Caenorhabditis elegans: one gene and its partners. The protein of the gene in region 1 interacts with the protein of each later gene in a pairwise test. Each region holds a gene or a part of one and is shown on either strand. Other genes may lie near its edges.

Region 1 (4,797 bases):
TTGGTACAGCTTTTCAGCAGAAAAAGTCTTAAAAATCTGAAAATTTCAGCGAATTTGGCGAATTTATCGGATTCTAATAAGCTTGCCACGCTGCAAAATGGCCGACAAGGACTAATTTCAGTGCTTCAATGTACCACGAGACGGCCTGAATATTTCTTGGAGAGCTTTACTATGGTATCATGGATTTTCTGAAAAACCCAAAAAAATTTCAAATTTTCACTTTCAAATTCGAATTCTCCGTCCAATTCTACCAATTTTGGCTTTTTTCCCGGTCTTCTAGCGTTAATTTTGAGATTTCCGGGTTACTGTAGCCCCAAAAGTACGCAATTTCTCGTCCGGGCACCGGATCCTACGACGAAATGCACAGAAACTCAAAATGTTGCGAAAAGTGTCGGGATATGGGTAAAAAAGAGCGCTGAAACCGAATTTCGATAGAAAAACAATGGAAAATTGTGATTTTCTAGGTTTTTCGCTGAAAAATGTCGATTTTTAGTGGAAAATTATTAAAAATCTCGAATTTTTGGTAAGAATTCTGCTGTTTTCTTCAGAAATTCGGATTCAGCACCCCTTTTTACCCCTGCCTAGGCGGTTTTCGCGAGTTTTGAAGTTTCTGTGCATTTTGTCGTAAGATATGGTGCATCGACGGAACATTGCGTACTTTTGGCGCTACCGTACCCCGAAAATCTTATAATTAACGGTAAACGCCTAGAAAACCGCCAAAGTGTGGTAAAAAATGACGAGCAATTCGAATTTTCACACTAAAAACTTGGAAAATTATCGGAATTCAATTATTTCCTCAGAAATTTCAAAAAAATTGGTAAAATTTCAACTTTATCGCTTTTTCCATATGAAATTCGAGCTCAGCGCCACTTTTTACCCCTATTCAGCTGATTTCAGCTGAATTTTGCAAGATTCTAGATTTCTGTGCATTTTGTCGTACGGTCAGGTTTTCTGACGACAAATTGCGTAATTTTGGGGCTACAGTACCCCAAAAAGTTCAAACTTAACGCTAGAAGCCCAGAAAAAAGGCTGAACATGTGAAAAATGGCGGGCAATTCGAATTTCAAGCTTAAAAATCTCAAAAATCGATATTTCGTCCGGAATTTTTTACAAAACTTGCTTTAAACTTGATTTTCCTACCCAATTTTCCTATTGAAATTCGGATTCAGCACACATTTTTACCCCAAAATCGCCGGATTTCGCAAGATTTGCCAATTCTGTGCATTTTGTCGAAAGATCTGGTGCCCCGCCGCCGACAAATTGCGTACTTTTGGAGCTACAGTACCCCCGAAATGTTCAAAATTACCGCTAGAAACCCGGGGAAAAAAGGCTAAATATGTGAAAAATTGCGGGAAATTCGAATTTAATACTAAAAAATCCCAAAAATTCCAAATTTTCAGAGAAATCAATCGATATTCTGTGTTCGTCAGCTAACAGATGGTTGTCAAGAGAATAAGGAAGTGGTTTTTAATCTCCAGCAGCCAAATCAACCAATTATCGATCGAAAACGACTTCTCGAAGAGCTCGGAGTCCACGTGGACAATTAAATTTTTGAAATTTTAATTTTTCTGTTGTTCCCGCATTTTTATACACGTTTTTTTGTTTTTTGTTGTTAATTTTTTTTGAAAAAATCAATAATTTATCGATTTTTTTTTCATTTTTATTAATTTCTCAATTTTCAATAACTGTTCCCCGTGCAGTTTTCTGGTATTTTTTTTCCCAAAAATTTCAGGCAAAATTTTCAGCCAAAACCCCCCTGATTTTCCAGATGAATTTCAATGATATTGATAATCAAATGTACGGGAATTTGGAGGAGGACGCTGAGTTGCTCGCCGAGCTTGCCGCAATACAAGAAGAGGAGATGGGTCGTGTTAGGTAGGGTTTTAGCGGGTTTTCGGCGAGAAATTCGGATTCTCTGTGATTTTTTACCATCGGGAGCCTTTTTTCTGGACTTCTATGGTTAATTTTGAATTTTCCGGGGTACTGTAGCCCTAAAAGTACGCAATTTTTCGTCCAGGCACCGGATCTTACGACAAAATGCACAGAATTTTTAAATTTTGCGAAAACCGGCTGGATAGGGGTAAAACAGGCCGCTGAAGTCGAATTTCAATAGGAAAATCGTTGAAAATGCGAAGTTATGGTGTAGAAATTCATTTTTTTCCGCAATTTCGATATTGTTACTGCGAAATTTGAATATTTTATCAATTTTAGACATTAAATTCGAATTCGGTAATTTTTCACCCCCGGGGGCTTTTTTCTGGGCTTCTAGCGTTAATTTTGAATTTTCCGGGGTACTGTAGCCCCAGAAGTACGCAATTTCTCGTCCGGGCACCGTATCTTACGCGAAAATGCACAGAATCTCAAAGTCTTGCAAAAAGTGTAGATTTTTCATGATTATCGTCTTTAATTTGACGAATTCCGGCTGTACCGTTAGGAAATTCGAATTCCTTGTCATTTTCTACCCCCGATGCCTTTTTTCTGGGTTTCTGTCGTTAATTTTGAAATTTCCGAGGTACTGTAGCTCCAAAAGTACGCAATTTTTCGTCCAGGCATCCGAATTTACGACAAAATGCACAAAATTTCCAATTCTGCTTAAAACAGGCTTTTCTGGGGTAAAAAGGCGAGCTGAGCTCGATATTCAATAGGAAAATTAGGGAAAATTCGAAATTCTGGCCGGGATTGTGTGGAGAGTGAGCGAATCGGTTGGTAGACGAGAGAAAATACTGCGGCTTGGCGACACCGTGAATGTTCTGAAATTTTAAACTTTTTTTAAAATTCATAATAACTTATTTTCTTACCGATCTAGAATTCCCGGAGAATGGTTAGAAGCCGCAGATTGTGGTGGTGGAAGTTCGTTGGTACGAACTGAAGAGTCGTCTCTGAAATTTATGAGTTCGAATTTGTTGAAAATTTATTTCCACGCTCTACCTGTCACTTTTTAAATGTGTTTTGCCTAAATTCTTTTAAAACTAAAAGTTACTAGAAAAACTAGAAGTTTAAAGCCAAACTCACCGAGAGCGACCAGCTCCGACATTTGAAGCAGCTGAAGTTCTCGAACGGGAACCTGATCTCGAACCTGTCGGGGCTGCTTGATTTCTGCTCCGGTTTCCGCTGAGCTCGGTGGCGTTGGGTTGGACAAACGTCCTGAAAAACAAAAACTTTACATTTTTACGTCTTAAAAATCGTCTGAAATCCACTGAAATTTATCTGATAAAATCAGTTTGAAAAACCAAACTTCTTACCGATCGGCCGTAGCATCCGTTGGGGCAGTCTCATACGATAGAGTTGGCTGGATTGTGTGAAGTGACAGTTCCGTAGGAAACCGAGAACGTGATCCACTACGACTCGATTGTATTTCTGGTGCTCCAAGGAATCCGCTGAAATTCAAATAATATAATCGATTCGAATTAAAAACCCGCTATTGCTTACGTGTCTGCAATCCTGACCGTATGGGCACTCTGAAGGGACGCCGATGGTGTAGTTAAGTGGGACGCACGCGTCGAAACAATAAATGTTCTGAAATTTAAAATTAGTGATTCATAATAACTTGTTTTCTTACCGATCAAGCGTGTTCGGAGACCGAAAAGAGGAGAGAACTCCGTCGAGTGAGTCACCTCTTGAGGTTTGAAAATTGCTCCGCGAGGACTGCGCTGTCATTTGGCTTGGGTGAGGACGATAAAATCCCCTGAAAAATAAAAACTTTACATTTTTTCGTCTTAAAAAATCTTACAAGTCGGCAGACTTCGCGGTATTGAATGCGGAGATGCCACGTTGGCGAGTCCTTGGTTGGATCTTCTGAAATGTGATAATTAGACTTTTGAACACATTTTTTGCTAGTTTCTAACAATCAATGAAAGCAAGCTTACCTCGTCGAGCGTCTCAATTCCTGCTCTAAAGAGCGATTATTTCCAGTAGAGCTCTGCAGAGATGGGGGAGGTGCCAGAAATCCGCTGAAAATCGAAAATTAACACTCAATTTTTTTAACTTAATTATTTACTTGTTGTGCCGGTCTGATCCCACTTGTGATTTCGAAAGAGACCTTCCGAACGTTACTAAAGGAGAGCTTCCGGACGATGGGACTGCAACTCTGTTGGAATTGAGTGTATTTCTGAAAATAGGAAACTAGAAATAATTTCAATCGAAAAAAAATCACCGTTCCAACACGCGTTTAGATCTCCGGTGGGGCGATATACTCGATGAGTCTCTTGACGCTTCGGAAGTCGTGTCTCTGGAATCCTCCTGGGAAACCTTGATAGGCTTACGCGACGGCATCCTAAAATTTGAAAAATTATACAAAGACAAGAGAGAGAAAATAAGTTAAAAACAGGAGAAGCCGACAGAAAAGAGAAAAGAGTGTGTAAGCTGAGAGGGCTCTGCAGATATTTTAAAACTGTGTGGTTAATAAAGGACCGGAAGAATAAAAGTTCTGACTTCTGGCCAAACTTCTGAAATTGGAAAAATCAATTTTCAAGGTCTCAGAAAAGAAGAAAAAGCAAAAAACATAAAAGATTGTCTATACTTCCAGTCATTCCAAAAAGTAAAGTAGAACTAAATAATAAAACGCTTAATTTTTGAACAGTTAATTCTGACAGCGAAAATAGAATACTGCGAAATTTGAATATTTTATTAATTTTAAACATTAAATTCGAATTCTCGGTGATTTTTCCCGCCGGCCGGCTTTTTTCCGCGCTTTTAGCGTTAATTTTCAATTTTCCGAGATACTGTAGCCCCAAAAGTACGCAATTTCTCGTCAGGGCACCAGATCTAACGCAAAAATGCACAGAATCACCAAATCTT
Region 2 (7,145 bases), about 13 Mb from region 1:
ATAATATAATCTTATTGCATTTTCGCAATTCTCGTTCTCTCCACACACATACACACATCATCCCAAGTATTCCTGTGCTGAATCTCAGTTTGAATGATGTTTCATACCGTTTTTATCCCACTATTGCCTTATCGTTTCCTGTTTTATTATATTTTTCATTTTTTATATTGCCACCACCACCACCAACACCACCCTCTCTATCTTTTTTTGTTCTTTTGCCTCCAGCAACATCATCACCTAGTTTTCTGTGAATTTTGAATTTTGTGTTCCCCCGAGTCCCCTCTGATAGGAATGATAGGAAAAACAATGAAAATGCGAGTTTTTTCAAAAAAAAAAATACAAACTAGGAAACTATAGAAACAAAAAAAAAACATTTGAGGCGCAGTACCGAAATCTCTCCAAATTTGGCCCGAAAAATTCAAAAGAAAATATTTATTTTTCTAAATTATTATTTTTCCGCCACTCCAGCCTCATTCTCATTGGAGCGCGCAAAGTCATGTCGATTTACGAGATTAAGATTTTCAACGAGTTTCATCATTGTTATCGATTTTCGTGTAAAGTTAACTAATTTTTTTGAAAATTTTCGCAAAAAATTTTGGATAATAAAATGTTCAATTGGCACGAAAATGCAGATCTTCAGCAAAAAAACCGACAGAAATGTGTAAAACTGAATCTCGTAAATCCACATGGCATAACGCGCTCCAATGAGAATGTTTTTAGCGAAAAGTTTGAACAAAGGAATATCAAATCAGGGCCAAATTTGGAGCAATTTCTAAAATATTTTCTCAATTCTTTCGGTATTCCACATTCAAACAATTATTCGGCCGTTCCCATGAGCCTCTGAATCTCGATGGGATCCCTTGGCACTGCAGCAGTCAACAGCTCAATCCCTCCAGCTTCACTAGTCGCCACGTCATCCTCGATACGGTATCCAATGCCACGAAACTCTTTGACAGGCCAATCCATCGGAACATACACTCCCGGCTCAATGGTAAATGGCACATTCGGTGGTAGATCAATGTCTCGGGATACTGTCGGACAATCGTGAACATCCATTCCGAGATAATGACTGACGTGGTGGGGACACAGCTTCTCCGCCTGATGAATCATCTCCTTGTGATCCGTAGATCGAATCAGGCCGAGTTCGGTGAAACTTGCCGCGAGAAGTTCGTTCATTCGGCGGAACAGGGCGCTTAGGCGGACTTTTTCCATTGAGTGGGCGTAGGTGAGCAGTTCTTCGTGAACGTAGAGAAGCGCTTCGTAGAGGGATAGTTGGGCGTCTGACCAGCTGCAAAAACGAATTTTTTTTTGGGAAGGTTTTTTGAAACGATTTTTCAAATTTCGTTCGAATTATATTAAACTTTATATAAAACGATTATCCACGGATTTCTGGCTTCCCTCATAAATTGGAATGGAAGAGTTTACCGAACTAGGCCATTTTGGCTCGGCCATATCTGGTGCCGCGTCGCGGCTCGATTTTAGTTGTAAAACTAAATGCATTTGTACGTGTGGAGTACACGACTTTCCCACGCGTTGTCCGGCGGGCGATTGTCAATGGAGCGCAAAAAATTCACTGAGGAAGGGGAGAACTCCGTGATTAGCACCGCCTATTTCTCTCACGAATCTATTTCTTCGAAATCTTCTATTTTTTAAAAATCAATTCCTGAATTCTGAAATTCATTATAGCGTAATTTTTTGGGAATTTCACCCTGAATTCCATTTCTACGGAACAACATTTTTTTCTCGAATTTGTGGTGACTCAAATTAGAATTTTCAAAATCTCCAGAAAAAAAATCATTTTTCCTGAATTTTCTGGAGATTTTTAAAGGAATAAAGTGCAAAAAAGACTCTTTTTGAGGCACCACCGAAAGGAGAAAGGAGAACACAAACCACGCCCATTTTTCCGTGCCGCGCGCAAGTTTTTCTGCAAATTTTTATTTTCAAACGAGACAGCGAAACTCCGAAATAACGCATATCGTGTTCTTTATCATCAACGTGTTATTTCGGAGCTTCGTTGTCTCGTTTGAAAATAAAAATTTGCAGAAAAACTTGCGCGCGGCACGGAAAAAATGGGCGTGGTTTCTGTTCTCCTTTTTCACCTGTTCTCCTTTCGGTGGTGCCTCTTCTTTTTTTTTTCTATGTTTAGCGTAATTTTTTAGCCATCTTGGAATAGCCCCGCCCATTTCTCCCACAAATCCATATCTACGAAATCTCGCATTCCAGAATGATTTGTGGTGTCTCAAACGGGAATATTCAAAATTTCTAGAAAAACCCCATTTTTCTTGAATTTTGGCCGAACTTCTGTAATTTCTGAAATTCTGAGAAAAATTTTCATTTGAGTCACCACAAATACTGGAATGCAAGATTTCGTAGAAATAGACTTGTGGGCGAAATCAGCAAAAAATGGGAAAACATTCAATTTTTTTTAATTTTTTGGGGTTTTATCACTAATTTTTAGCACTTACAATCCAGAAATCGGAAAGCAACGTGTCACATCTGACACATAACCATTCAAATCACACCCAGCATCCACGAGAACACATTCCCGGGGATTTAGGTCATTATTTGCGTCCAAATAGTGAATAGTGTTGGCACGAACACCACCGGCAATCACTGGTGGATATGCTTGCATTTCTGATCCACGACGACGTCCTTCAAACTCCAAGAGCCCGCAAATCGCGTTCTCGTTGTGTAGATCACGTGATCCCGATATCATTGAGCTCATTGTCTGGGCTCCCACGTTGCACACGTCACGCATTGAGCTCATTTCGGATGGAGATTTTATTACTCGGCGACGTTCGATCTGCAAGGAAAACTTGAAAATTGGCAAAAAAATAATTTTTTTTTTGAAATTTTAAAACGATTTTTCGGGTGTTCAGAAAAATTTTTTTTAGGAAAAAATTGGAATTTTCCAAAAGTTTCAAAAAAATAATTTCTAGAACTTTTTCCTAAAAAAAAAATGAATATTGAAAGCTTCGAAAACAGTAAAAATTGGGAAAATTTTTTTACCGTTAAAAAATTTTTTTTTTTCGAAAAAAAAATTTTCAGTTTAAAATTTGGAGCGTTTTCAATTTTATTGATAATTGGTGAAACAAAATAAAAAGTAAATAAAAAATTTTTTTTTTGAAAAATTTGAAAAATTAGATTAAAAATGTTTATTCTGGGATGAAAAAAACCTCCTAAAACCATTTTCTGGAAAATTTAAACTTCCTATTTTGTTCAGACAATTCTTTTTTTTCAAGAAAAAATCAAATTTTCCACTAGAAAATCGAAAAAAATTGACCTCGTTTAAAAATTGGACAAAATTTGAATTTTTACTTTGAAATCCTCGAAAATCGGATTTTTTTTTCAAAGCTTGAACAATTTTCTGCAAATTCTATATATCTCTAAACTCACAAAATGATTAATTTCCCGAACAGAATTAGCTTTAGCCTGTACAAACTTATAGAGTAAATCATCAGAAGTCGAATCAAAAAACACTGCAGTTCCCTTATCGCAAACTTTTTCCAAAGTCTGTAGAATCCGGCTAGTCGGCACACATTCCGTGAATTTTGCAGTCTTTTCCCATTCGGATTCAGTTGGTAGGGCGCCTTCCCATAGCTCATCATAGGCACTACGACGGTCAGCAAAAAGAATATTTGTTTCTTTTGAAGATTCGGATATTCCTGATTGCATTATGTAATAACAATCTGGTGTGGTGATTCCGTTTAGGTATCTGCAAAAAAAAAAAATTTTTCAAATTTTTTTCTGTTAAAAATTTAATTTATTTTTTTTATCAAACAATTTTGAATTTTTCCCAAAAAAAATCCGAAAATTGTGAACAAATCTATTATTTTCGTTGAACAAAAAAAAAACAAATTCAATTTTTAAATAATTTAATTTTCGTTCAGAAAAAGAAATTTGTCGATTTTCGGCGGCAATGATTTTTTTTAACGAAATTTTCCTGAAAAATTCAATATTTCAATAATTCCTGATTTTCTAGTTTTTTTTTTAAAGAAGAACATGTTAAATTTCTACTAATTTTATAACAAAAAATTTCGGGAAAATCTAGAATTAAAAAAAAATGTTTTCAGAAAAATTCTACTAATATATTAATTTTAGCTTAAATTTCGATAATTTTAGGTTATTTTTCAATTTTTTTAGGGCGAAATTTTGATTTTCAAAACAAAAATATTTTCTGACAAAAAAATTAATTTTCATTCTTTTTTAGATTTTTTGAAAAATTTTCAATTTTTTTCTGAAGAATTTGGTACTTGTGTATTACATGCCCTCATTTTTAAATTAAATTAAATGTTCATTAATTTCTCCATTTAAATTAAACGTGATATACATTTTCTCTTTTTAGGCTTAGAAATTGCTATTTTGCTACTTAAAAAATTACTATTAAAATGAGGGCATGTAATACACAAGTACCAAGAATTTCAATCAATTCTTGTTTTTGAAATTTTTTTTGGGAAAAATTCCAATTTTCGATTGTTTCTTCGATTTTTTCAGAAAAAAAATTTTCTAAAATTTATTTATTTGTTTGAAAATTGGATCTAAAAAAATTTCTCTAGTTTTTATTTTTTTTCTGGAAAAAGCTTTTTTTAACTTAAAAAGTTAATCTGTGGCCGAGTTTTCTCTCATCATTTTCACGGCCACGGCCATCAAAACCGAACCTGAAATGGCTTTTCTGTCGGAACGCGTGTGGAACATCCGGTGCAATATATGATTTCCGTGCTCCTTTCATCACAACGACCACTTGCTTTTCTGAAACTTTGAGAGGTCATGGCCTAACTTTTAAATGGTTTTCTAGGCCACCATGGTGATTTTATTACGGTACCGGGTCTCGACACGATGAATTTTGTAGAATAAATTTTTCTGAAAAATTTCGTTTTTTTTTTTAGAAAAATCAAATTTTCAAGAAAAATGGGAAAACATTTTTCAGGAAAAATTTAATTTTATAGAGAAAAATAGAATTTTTCCTTTAAAAAAATCTGAAAATTCGGATTTTTGAGAATTCTCTTTATTTGGATTTTAAAATCCAAATTTTCAAAAAAAAATTTAAAAATCGGAAAATTCCAAATTTTTGAGAGTAAACTCGCCTTAATTTTTTTTTTCAATTAAAAAAATTAATTTTTTAAAAGAAAATTGGAATTTTTACCCAAAAATTGGCAATTATTCGAGTTTTCAACGGAAAAATCTGAAAAATCCGAATTTTTGAAAAAAAAATCTTTAAAAATCCCAATATTCAATTAAAAACCGCGAAATTTCGGATTTTTGAGAAAATTTTAATTTAAAAAAGTCCTATTTGTACTGCAAATCCTCATTTCCAAATGATGGCCTAACTTTTTCAGAATTCTAGGCCACCAGGCCATTTCTCTGCCTCTTACCCCCAGTTTTGACCTCTTTTTTGAGTAAATTCATCAAATTCGTCCTTCTCATCGCATATTCCTCATTTGGAATTCGCGATGGCCACATTGGTAGGCTCCGCCCACTTCTGAGCATTTTTTTTTTGGATCTGATCTGTGTGGGAGGGAAATTCGAATTTTTTTAGAAATGAATAAAACTGAAAAAAATAGATTTTTTGGGAAACAGGGAACCTGAATTTTCGAGAGAAAAAAGGAGGTAAAACAAAAAATTCGATTTTATATTGAGCAAAAATTAATAGAAAAAATAAACTTAACAATTATGAACAGAAAAACCTACTAAAAAAGTCTAAAAAATGAATGAAAAATTGCAAAAAAAATCTACAATCGATACGAGACTCCTCCTCCAACAATGCAGTTCTCGCCGGTGATGTACCTGAAAAAAAGTGATTTTTTTTTGAATTTTTAGAAAACAAAATTATGAAAAAAACCAAAAAATTTCCGAATAATCGAAATTTTTCGGAAGTTTTAGGTTAAAAAAATTTTTTTTTGATGAAAAGTTTTTTTTCAACAATTCTGAAAACTAAAAGTACCAAAAAATTTTAGTTTTTTCGATTGTTTCAATATGATAATTTTTTTTAAATGTTTAAAATTGTATTTTTTCAAAAAATATTATCAATTTTCCAATTTTATGGTAATTTTGGATGTGAGATTTTTTTCTTCAAATTTTCGAAACGTTTCTCGATAAAAAAATTTTTCAACTGAAAAACTACAAAAAATCCTCTTATTTTGAAGAAAAATCGATATTTTCTCAAATTGTTCAGATTTTTTCTGTTTTTACCAAAAGTGACCAAATTTTGAGACTTTTCGATCCAATGTTTAAAATTTTTTTCCCGTTTTTTCGATATTTGCGGTTTAAATTTTTTTTAAATTTTTTGATTCAATTTTAATAAGTTTGAGTGTTTTTCGATTTTTTGTCCAAATTTTTTCAAATTTTTTTCCAGAAAATTGGTAGAAGCCAAAAAGTGCGATTTTTTTCCTTAAAAAAGATAATTATTCAGTTTTTCGACTGTTTTCTTCTTGCTTCCAGATTTTTTCTCGAATTTTTTTTATATTTGAATTGTATTTTTAAATATTATACTCCTAATCGATAAAAATTAGTTTTTTTTTCAATTTAAATTGGAAAAGAACGTTCTTTTTCGTAAATTTTAGTGATTTTTGATTCCAAATTTTTGGATTTTTTCAAAAAATTTCCCAGAAAATTTTACCTGGCTTTGGTAGAAGCCAGAAATTCGATTAAATAAGCTTTTTTGGGTTTTTCGACAATTTGTCAAGTTAGGAATTAAACTTTTAAAATTTTTTTCAAAAATTTTAAAAAACTAAAAGTATTTCTGAGAATTTTTCTGAAATTAATTATTCAGTTTTTCGACTGATTTCTGCTTGCTTCCAGATTTTTTCTCGAAGTTTTTATATTTGATTTTTTTAAAAAATACTCTTAATCGAAAAAAATTCATTTTTTGAATTTTTTCGGGACTTTTTTTTTCGAAATTTTCGTAAGTGTTAGTGTTTTTCGATTTTTGATTCTAAATTATTGGATTTCTTCAAAAAATTTTTTCAGAAAATTCTACCTGGCTCTGGTAGAAGCCAGAAATTCGATTGAAGAAGCTTTTTTTTCGGTTTTTTGGACAATTTTCCAAGTTTTAGTTAGGAGTTAAACTTTTTCAAATTTTTTTTGAATTTTTTTCAAAAACTTTAAAAACTAAAAGTATTTCTGAGAATTTTTGAGAAAAGCATTTT
Region 3 (5,316 bases), on another chromosome or scaffold:
TATAAAGTAAGAACATTTTCAACCAAAATCGATTTTAATTACACCACTTTGTTATTTCTTCAAATTAACAATTTTCAAAGTTCAATCATTTTCTTCCAAAACGCTCATTTTCAATCTCCAATTTTCTGGTATACAACTTCAGATTCTACAGATCAACTATGATTTTCAATTTATTTTTTTTTAAATTTTTCTTATTTGAATATAAACATTCAAGATTTCTTCTCTTTAAATCTGCCCAAAGTCCCAAGCACTCATCATTTTCTCGGGTTACCAATGAAAGTTCTTATAGGTTTTATTGTGTTCAGATATATATTTTTTCCAATCATTGAGAAAAAGATTCTATATGACTTTATTCGGCTTTTTATTTGTTTTTCTTATTTTTTTATAAAAATTATATTTTGTATTACAATACATTTTATCACTGGAACAAAACCCAAAACCACTCTTAAATAATTGAAAATTGATAATTAATAATACGTTTCGTTTTTCGGTCTCTGAGTTAGATAAAAGCCGCCGTTAGTGTAAGGGGTAATACTGGAGAGGTAATTCAAAAATGTTTATTCTGCCGAAAAATATGTTAAACGACCTATACAGTAAATGACTAGTTATTTTCGGTTTCATCCGTAGAGATGAGTGTGAATGATGTTTGTTGCATCATAAGGAAGTTGTTTAATTAGGTTTCGCATATTAGTTGAAGCTGAGAGCACAAGGAAAGACATCATAAAATAAATTGAAGAAAATTAGAAAAAAAATAAAAGGAAAAATGACGAGAAGGAGGAGAAAGAAAGCCCGCAATAATGCATAACAAAACGGAATAAATTAAAATGCAAACGTCGTGAAATGTCGAATGAGTTGAAGTGGTTTCAATAATGTATCCATCATTTTTGAGCTGTCACCGGGCTTTGAGTAGAAGTCACACGTTTGAAAAATGAAGGTAGGGAGAATTTGGTGCAGCTGTTGCAATTCTGAAAAATGCATGTAAAAGTTGAAAATATTCATTGTTTTCAATAAAAAAATTAAAACATTTAAAGGTGGAGTAGCGCCAGGGGGGAAATTGTTAAAAACCACTCCTTTGGTCCCAAAATGGCTGAATATCATAATTAAACATTTCAAAAATTTTTCTACATTTTTATACTGTAATTTTGTTTAAATTGTTTGCATTAAAACATTAAATTTCATATTTTTCAAAATTTTGGCCATTAACCTTTTTTGCCAAAACTTTGAGCGGAAATTATGAAAAATCTAAAACTTTTTGGAGTGTTTTACTATGATATTTGGTCTTTTTGGATCATAATAAGTGTATTTTGTAAAAATCCCCACTGGCGCTACTTCACCTTTAAGAACATTTTTTTATCATTTTTAAGGTGGAGCACCGAAATCTGGGAAATATTTTCAAATGACTCCAAATGGGCCCCTGATTTCGAATATCTAAGTGACAAAATTCAAAAAAATTTCTCTGATTTTTTTTTATTTAAGCTTGAAATCGCGAATTTCATTTGTGTCCCCATGAGATTTTTCAAGTGCGCGCCAAAATAAGTTATCCTTGGAGCGCGTTTGCCTCATTTAATTTTCTCCATTTATTTTCACTTGTGACAGTTTTTAGCTTTTTTCGTTCATTTTGTCGTATATTATTGTTTTTTTAAATATATTCTTTCGTGTCAATTGAACATTATATTAGCATAGAAATGAATGAAAAAAGCTGAAAAACTGGAAGCAGTAAAAATAAATGGAGAAAATTAAATGAGGCAAACGCGCTCCAAGGATAACTTATTTCGGCGCGCATTTGAAAAATCTCATTGGGACGCAAATGAAAATCGAGATTTCAAGCTTAAATATAAAATCAAAGAAATTTTTTTAAATTTTTTCACATAGATATTCGGAATCAGGGGAAAATTTGGAGTCATTTGAAAATATTTCCCAGATTTCGGTACTCCACTTTCAAATTTTCAAAACGTTTCCAATTTTTAGACCAAGATTCCCCCATTGTTTTATTTCCAACAGCTAACATGTGCAAAGAGCGTATCTAAACCGAGAAAAACGGCGCAAGTCTTCACTTGCAAATCCAATATTTGATTAACGTGATAGGATATTGTCTAAGACTAATAGAATTATTGACTTTTTGACAGTTTGAAATACACCTGAGCTAGGTTGATTACCTGATTGTAAGAGCACATGAAATAAAGAAGAGCAGTAGAAAGAAGTACCAGGAGGAGAAGTGAAATGATTGTAGACATAAGAACGCACATTTTTATTGTTGAAAACATTTCACCCGCAGCCTGTAAGTTGATAATTTGAACTTGGAACAATGATGCGCGTTTTTTGGGAGCAACCTCTAGAATGAACAAAGCAGCAAATAAACCTGATTTTTCTGCCGAAAATGACCAAATTAGTACATCGGTTTTCTTATGTTTTCAAAGCTAGTGTTTGTTTTTTTTTTTTTTTTTTTTTTTTTTTTTTTTTTTAATGGATCTTTAAAACTTTTTGCAAGTTTATTGTAGTATGACGTCACTGGCGACAGTAAGATAATATTATTGAACAGGTTTAGATTATAATATTAAACAAGTTAAAACATATTATTAAAGGTGGACCAGCGCCAGTGGGAAAGTGTTTAAAATTAATCCTATGGTGCCAAAATGACCGAATATCATAATAAAACGGTTCAAATTTGTTTTGAAACTTTTTAATTTACTGTCAAAAAGTGACAATTACTTAGTTTTTGCCACTCATAATTTTGAAAGTCGACTAAGAAAAAAAATTTTCCTACATTTTTAATATTTTAATTTTGTTTTAGTTATTCATATAAAGCATTGTAATGGTCAGAACATGCGAAATTGCTTTGGATTTCCTCAAAATCTAATATTTTTCAAAATTTTGACTATTAACCTCTTTTGCCAAAACTTTGACCGAAAATTATGAAAAATCTAAAACTTTTTTGGAGTGTTTTATTATGATATTCGGTCGTTTTGGATTATTGTAAGTGTATTTAAACAAAATTCCTAATGGCGCTACTCCACCTTTAAAGAAATTTAGTTTATATTTAAAAATAAAACATCAGAATATTAGAATTATTCGTATATTTTCAAGTGACTCAATAATTGTTTCTGGCAAATTTATACATGCACAACGACTATAAAATTTGATATAATACAATTACGGTACTTATGTGGTAGTCATGCCCAAGCACTTTGAACCGTTTCAAAAAAAAAAGACCGTTTTTTTTCAGAACATTTTTAGGTCTGAACTTGTGGTTTTCTAAGCTTTAAAATGCAACCTAATCACACGTTTCGAGATAATTATTATTTTAAATATAAATTAATGGGTAATTTATTTTTGGTAAACGGATATATACTAAATAAGTTCCAGTCTCCATTAAAAAAACCTTCATCTAAAAACATATTACGAATCGTCACTCACCCTTGCAGCAAATTGAATATCTTCCATACCACAGGCCTTGAAACATGTGTTACCAAAAATATTACCAGCTATTGAAGGTCCACCTCCACCACCAGCACTGCTACTTCCACCAACTCCCGGCCCATCACCGGATGCTTCTGAAACTTTGGGTTACACTAATGAAATTTAGAAATGAGCCAGAAAACCTGCTCCAGCACCCATGATGTTCGAAATACCGCTTATGGTTCGTGAAACGTCGGAGAATAGTTGCGGTAGGTTGACCTCACGCTCTCCCATTCCGATGCGCAATCAACTTGGAAAATTGGTACAAGTAGAATAAATGAACAAGTTGAAGTCGGTCTGCAAAAATGATAAATAAACAAGAAAAATAGGATGATTCCGTCTAAAAAGAAACATGCGTCGTGATGATCCGGTGTTCGGAGAAAACAGTGAGAGATGGGGGGGGGGGGGGGGGGTGAGAGGAGAGTTGTAAACAGACGGGGATTGTCCTAGATATAATATTCATGAGTGGTCTTTTCACCTGGAGAGGGGGGAGGTGAGATGAGTGAGGATCAAAGTGTACAAATGTATATACGGATTTGTAACCTCCGGAGGAGAGTAGGTCAAGAAATCTCTAGTAAATTAGTGAAAGTTTTGAGGTTTCTTTTTTTTAAATTGCACTCAAAGATGTAGTACTTAAATTTTTTGTTGCTTTATCAGACTCAAAATTGCCTAAAAACAACGAATTTCATAATGAAACCTTTTGAAAACTTCTCAAAAAAAGTTATGACGGCTCAAAAAAAGCCTGAATTTTGACCGACCTGTCAATGTCGCAGCGGCTTGAAACAATTTTTTTTGAAATCACCGTCAAATTTTGAGTATTCAATTTAATTATCTCATTTTAAACTCGATTTAGGTATTTTAAAGTCGATGGACGAAGAGATCTTAAAAGTTTTGTTACCAAATATTTTTGTTCATTGGCTTTAAACTACCTAAATCGAGTTTAAAACGCAAGATAATTATTATAGAAACCATACCATTGCACAAATTTCTCATAATGTATTTTTGATCTACCTGTTGAACTTGACTCCGCCCCCAAACTTGTTGCCGTTCTTATTTTATTGTTGCTGTCTTGTCGATGGAATGGGAGGAGCCTAGTCAACAAGGTAGATCAAAAATAAATTATGAGAAAATTGTCGTATTTTTTCGATAATAACTTGTATACTCTAAATTTGACGGTGATTTCAAAAAAATGATTACCAGCCGCTGCGACATTGACAAGTCGGTTACATTTCGAATTTTATCTAATAGCAACATTTTAAAAATTCAAAAAATATTCGGTCCTGGGTTCAAAAATTGCAAAGTTAATTAAGTGCTGCGATAACTTCAAAATCTGACGTAGCCTTTTTAAAAGTGCTCCACTCAAGTGCTTTTGACCAAAAGTGGCGCGCCAAGAGGTGACTATAGAAGTTAATGAAAAGAAAGAAAGGAGCACTTGAATGGCGTAACGCATAAAAAACCACTAATATATGTTCTAAAAGAGCACTGGACTGCGGGTGTATGTTTATTGTTAGTGAGCAGTGGACAACGAGGTGACTTCCGGTCAACCTCTCACGAAGAAGAAACGTTTACTTGATGATGGAAAGACACAGGAAGCCGAAAAAAAATGTTGCATAGTAGCTAGCATTGGAGTGAAAGTAATACATTGGGTGTAGTATATATTTGAAATTTAATCTCATCGAAATTAAAAGCTATTGTGAGTAGTAAACCGGCACATTTGAATAATGGCCTATTTTGTCATATAAAATCTAGTACGTACCTATCGAATACCTATTCAGCTTCAGTTTAAGTAGAATCGCAGTTTCAAATAATATTTCGAAGTAAAACTTTTTCATTTATGATACATTCGAAAAACAAGTAAAA
Region 4 (4,581 bases), on another chromosome or scaffold:
GTTTGGCAAGCCATTTACGGACAGCGCACTGAACCATGACCACCTTTTTCCTGTTAGCGATTTGCTCACGTCTCGCCAAATATCCACGCCAAGCTGCTTGAATTGTGATTGCAGATTTCTCATAGCGAAGCTGGAATATTAAAAACAATTAATAAAAAACTTTCAACAAATTATCATACCTTTTCCACATATCTTCTGACGCGATTCGCCTTAAACATTGCCTGGATCCCAATGATTGAATCGCGAATTTGTTCATACTTCCGTCGCTCCAAATATCCACGAACAGCAGATTGCATGACTATCACAGCACGATGCATTTGGAGATACTTGATTCTTCGGAATGCGAGGAATGCTTTCAACGATGCCTGGACGATGAGCAAAGATCTTCTCATCGTTTCGTATTTTCTCCTGGCCAAAAATCCTTTCCACATCTTCTGAATCACAGTTGCAGCAGCTGCAAGCGTATCGAGCCGAACTCTTTCCAGAACGGCAACTTGTCCAGTACGTAAGAAGATTTTCGTTTTTCCAACTGCATATTTGCCTTCTTCCAAGCATTGTTGGCATGCTAATTCCGCAAACTGTTTAGGTTTGTCTCTCCACAGGGCAGCTTCCTTCGTGTAAATTACACGGTATCGACGAGCAAACTCCTCATACGGATAACGAGATGGGAAACCAGCAGCAGAAATTCGAACAGTCTCAAGAACTCCACACGCACGAAGTTGTTGTATCGCACGTTTTGGCTCGAAATCGAAACTGATTTTGCTGTCATTTGGCTTGATGCATCGGACGTAATGTGGACGCGTCGAACAAAGTACAGACATGAGCTCTTTGAGTGAATCACGAAATTGGCTGGCCACAGTCTTCTTTATCGTACGTTTTCCGGGTGTCGATGAAGATGATGATGAAGAGACGGAGGTTGGTGCAGTTGATCCGATGACTGTGCGAATGAATGGAAATTTACTGGCAACGACAACATCAAGAAGTTGCTCTCCAATCGCATCCCTGTTCTTCTCCACAAATCCATCCGTACTGTATGTGACGTCAGCAGCGAAATGACGAACAATAAAATCGTTGCTCCGAACTTTTGGAAATGCGAGCTGTGGATTTCTCTTCAGCTCCGTGCTATTCTGCAATTGACTCAACCAGTCAGCATCAGATCCATTCAGACGTTTGCATTGCTCGTCGAGAAGATTGATCATTCCGACAGGACCTTCGATAAGATCAATAGCGGGCTGATTGTCATGGAAATCAACACGAACCCATTCAATTTCCTCACGAATATATTCTTCTTGCTCCAACTTGAAGACATGCTGATTAAATTGTTGTTGTAGTTTTTCGTTTGCATAATTGATGGAGAATTGCTCGAAGGAGTTCACATCGAATGTCTCGAATCCATAGATATCAAGGACGCCAATGAAACGATCTGGCCGCTTCTTTTGATTTGTTCCGTCCAGCTTATCCTTCTCGTTCAAAGCTTCATTGATTTTGTCGACGAGCCATCCGAATAAATGGGAATACAGCATTTTCGTGAGAGCATCTCTCGAACGAACAGCTTCATTTTTGGTCAACGGCTTCGTCACGATCTCATTCACAGCTCGAATCTCTCGCCTTGTCAGCCAAATTCTCAGATCGGATTCACTGATTTTCCAAAACTCCCGGCAAAGTCGTGAAATCTCCTGACAACTGCTAGCAGATACAGCGGACGAGCCCTCGCCGTTTTCGAAATGCACGTTTCCGAGAAGCAATAATCCAGCGAGAAGGCGGAATACATCGGACATCTGCTTTTCGTCGAATCCAAGCAACTGAAGCGCTTTCAGCAAAGCCTCGAAATCAGCTTTATCATCAACTCCGGGAATACGACTGTCTCCTCCTTGAGTGAGATACGAATACGATTCGCAAGGTCCCAAGTGAAGATCTTTGAGAACTTGATGATTCCGAGCGGCACATAACTGATAGAAGATGTGATAATTGCGCTCTCCAGGTGCTTGGAATACTAGACGACTTTTCTCGAGCAGATATGTCTTCATTTCGGCTCCGACAATCCTTCGTCCTCGTTCACAGAAGTTAATCTGTATGAACTTCCCAAATCGAGACGAATTATCGTTTCTGAAAATAAAAACAGTTGACAAATTAAGATTAATTTCAAATAAACCAACCTAATCGTTTTGGCATTTCCAATCGACTCCATAATCGGATTGCTCGCCAACACACGTGCTTCAATGCTGGTGGTCCCGCCATTTCTGGTCTTGCTGGCTGCAACAGATGCCAAATAGCGCATGACAAATTTCGCAGATACGGTTTTTCCAGCTCCAGACTCGCCACTCACAATAATAGATTGTGATTTTCCGAAAGCTCCCATGTCGAAGTGGGCCTCTTCTGCTACAGCGAAAATGTGAGGATCCATCTCACGAGCTGATTTTCCAGCTCCTCGATACACTTGGATAATTTCTTCTCCATAAATGTGCGAGCAATCGGCGTAAGGGTTGATTGCTACAAGCACAATTCCACAATATGTGTAGATCGATGATCCTTTCACAAATCGAACTTGTAGATTGTGAAGAACTGCCGGCTCGTGAAGATAGGAAAGAAGTGTGAGATCATCCTTGCCAACAAGAAATGCAGGATTCCTGAGGAATGGCAACTGGTCCAATGACTTGATGGCGTACTCGACTTCCTGAAACGAATAAGTTTTTGAAAACGATTAATGCGATAAACTCTCTCACCGTATCATCTTCGAGCCTTATCCGAACATTCCGTGTTTGGAATGTGATGTCCTCTTCCAAAGTAGCTCCAATCCATACAAGGGTTGGGTGGCGGTGCCAAATACGAACTCCCTTCTGAAAATTTCCAAAATTATTTGAATAACAAAGTTGAGCAACAAAAAACTATTAAAACTGAAATGGCATCTAATAGTAGGATTTAAATAATTCTCACCTTGAAGTTTTGCAGCGGGAACAACTGGCCCCTGCCAAGAGTGGCGCCTCCGTCCATATTGGATGCTCCCAATCTTTTTTCGATTCGGTGAACAGGCTCGGTGAATCTGAAATATTTTGGAATAATTGAACATAAGTCACGAGTTAAAGAAAGTTAAGAAGAGAACGAAGAGAAACGATAGGTTGGTGAAATGTTGAGTTGAGACAGGAAAAAACGTGAAATATTTACATGAACATATCACTGTGTATTTGCCCTTCCTTCTCCCATTCTACGATATTGTCCGGTTATCAGGTTCGGAAACGCAAAAATAAACATTTCGGCAATGAAACACTTTTTCCCGTACTGGACGTGAAGACAGCGAAGATCTACGGTTTTGCATGGTGCCTCATAAAAATTTATTATCCCCGGTGGTGCCGAAATATACATTCCTCAATATCCATCTCTCGCGCCACTCAACATTTATGAAAAACAAAGTGAGGAGGTGTAGGATTAAGTGGAAAGAAAAGATAGATTTGAATTGGCGCCTCTTGCAAGCATGTGCAACTTGCCAAGGACACTTATCGGCCGGTGTTCCTCTCCGCTAAGAGACTGAGAAGAAGCTTGTTCTATTCAATTCGTTACTATTCATCAAGGGCAGTCTCATTTGGAAACTTGTGATTTATCACATTTTGGGACTACTTTTTTGTGTCACAATGAAATAGGGAATAATACTGGTTTCGACGTTGTTTTTTTTATAGCTACTTTTTGTTTATGACAACAAAATAATAATTTACTCTCTCCTATGAACTTGCTGATAATCAAAAAATGTATAATCGTTATGGGTTGTAATGAAAAATTAATTTCGTGTTCACTATTTTTAGGAGAAAATGTATGTAAATCGGGAGTAACGAAAGAAGCGTTGCTTCGGTGACAAAAGACAGCCGGCTGCCATTTCAAATTTCAAACCAGCGCCTTGCGGCAATTTTATCGCCAGAGCAAATCTGCATACGTTGCGAAGGTGTGAAGGTGTCAACAGAGAAAAGGAAGAGCGGAGAAATAGAGAAAGTGATTAAAATACGAAGAAATTCTTATCGGCAATAAGTAGCTGCTAATAATCCTGTATTTACCACTTGTTTCGATAATAAAATAATAGAGAAAAAGGAGAAAATAAGCTAAATTCCACACTTTCTTATTCGGAAACAGGAAGACATGGATAGAAACCAAAATCGTGATGTGGGAAAAAAGAACGACAACATTAGTTTTCAATTCTGGGTACAAGCCGACAAAATCCGAAAAGTAGAAAGCGAAACGAGGAAAGAAGCGATTTCAATTCAAAAGCGAAAATTGGGACGGTCTACTACTAAAAACGCTGCTGATGGAGGTAGATTAAAACGAACATTTGCCTAATCGCTACAGAGTCTCTCCACTTTCAGTGCTTCCGACAAGTGATGACGAGCTGTTGACGGCCATCATAAAATTGCGCCGAAAATGAAAAAAATCTGCCTGAAGAAGTAAAAGAATGTGAGGAAACAGTTGTTTCCACATATAGTAAGAGCGCAAAGCAGAGGAAGTGATTAGTTTTGAAAACAGGAGATAACACGAAAAATGAAGCTACTTCGAATAATTCTCAAAAGAAAAAAACGGGTATTTTACAAAATCGAATTCCAA

Evidence for each region.
Region 2: the proteins of ccct-1 (region 1) and icpp-55 interact in a two-hybrid assay, tested with the Caenorhabditis elegans proteins (one large-scale study listed by BioGRID).
Region 3: the proteins of ccct-1 (region 1) and F59D12.2 interact in a two-hybrid assay, tested with the Caenorhabditis elegans proteins (one large-scale study listed by BioGRID).
Region 4: the proteins of ccct-1 (region 1) and hum-2 interact in a two-hybrid assay, tested with the Caenorhabditis elegans proteins (one large-scale study listed by BioGRID).

Annotation. Positions count from the first base shown.
Region 1 is NC_003279.8:13,777,131-13,781,927, forward strand, and holds the start of ccct-1 (Coiled-coil and C2 domain-containing protein 1-like), read left to right. Parts: upstream 1-1,764; 5' UTR 1,765-1,768; coding exon 1,769-1,875; intron 1,876-2,648; coding exon of another isoform or gene 2,649-2,750; intron 2,751-2,798; coding exon of another isoform or gene 2,799-2,879; intron 2,880-3,012; coding exon of another isoform or gene 3,013-3,144; intron 3,145-3,242; coding exon of another isoform or gene 3,243-3,377; intron 3,378-3,429; coding exon of another isoform or gene 3,430-3,516; intron 3,517-3,559; coding exon of another isoform or gene 3,560-3,685; intron 3,686-3,730; coding exon of another isoform or gene 3,731-3,795; intron 3,796-3,866; coding exon of another isoform or gene 3,867-3,950; intron 3,951-3,997; coding exon of another isoform or gene 3,998-4,108; intron 4,109-4,153; coding exon of another isoform or gene 4,154-4,272; intron 4,273-4,797. Other genes in the region: Y37H9A.1 (Copper transport protein 86), read left to right, coding at 1-3, 50-174, 1,401-1,547.
Region 2 is NC_003279.8:367,959-375,103, forward strand, and holds icpp-55 (Aminopeptidase P N-terminal domain-containing protein), read right to left. Parts: upstream 5,488-7,145; coding exon 5,373-5,487; intron 4,756-5,372; coding exon 4,659-4,755; intron 3,716-4,658; coding exon 3,397-3,715; intron 2,804-3,396; coding exon 2,466-2,803; intron 1,289-2,465; coding exon 817-1,288; 3' UTR 543-816; downstream 1-542. Other genes in the region: R119.3 (DeHydrogenases, Short chain), read right to left, coding at 5,730-5,784.
Region 3 is NC_003284.9:15,671,970-15,677,285, forward strand, and holds F59D12.2 (uncharacterized protein), read right to left. Parts: upstream 3,754-5,316; 5' UTR 3,691-3,753; coding exon 3,600-3,690; intron 3,552-3,599; coding exon 3,415-3,551; intron 2,277-3,414; coding exon 2,157-2,276; intron 966-2,156; coding exon 879-965; 3' UTR 544-878; downstream 1-543.
Region 4 is NC_003283.11:9,384,640-9,389,220, reverse strand, and holds the start of hum-2 (Myosin motor domain-containing protein), read right to left. Parts: upstream 3,047-4,581; 5' UTR 2,992-3,046; coding exon 2,935-2,991; intron 2,838-2,934; coding exon 2,724-2,837; intron 2,675-2,723; coding exon 2,157-2,674; intron 2,109-2,156; exon of another isoform or gene 2,107-2,108; coding exon 180-2,106; intron 131-179; coding exon 1-130.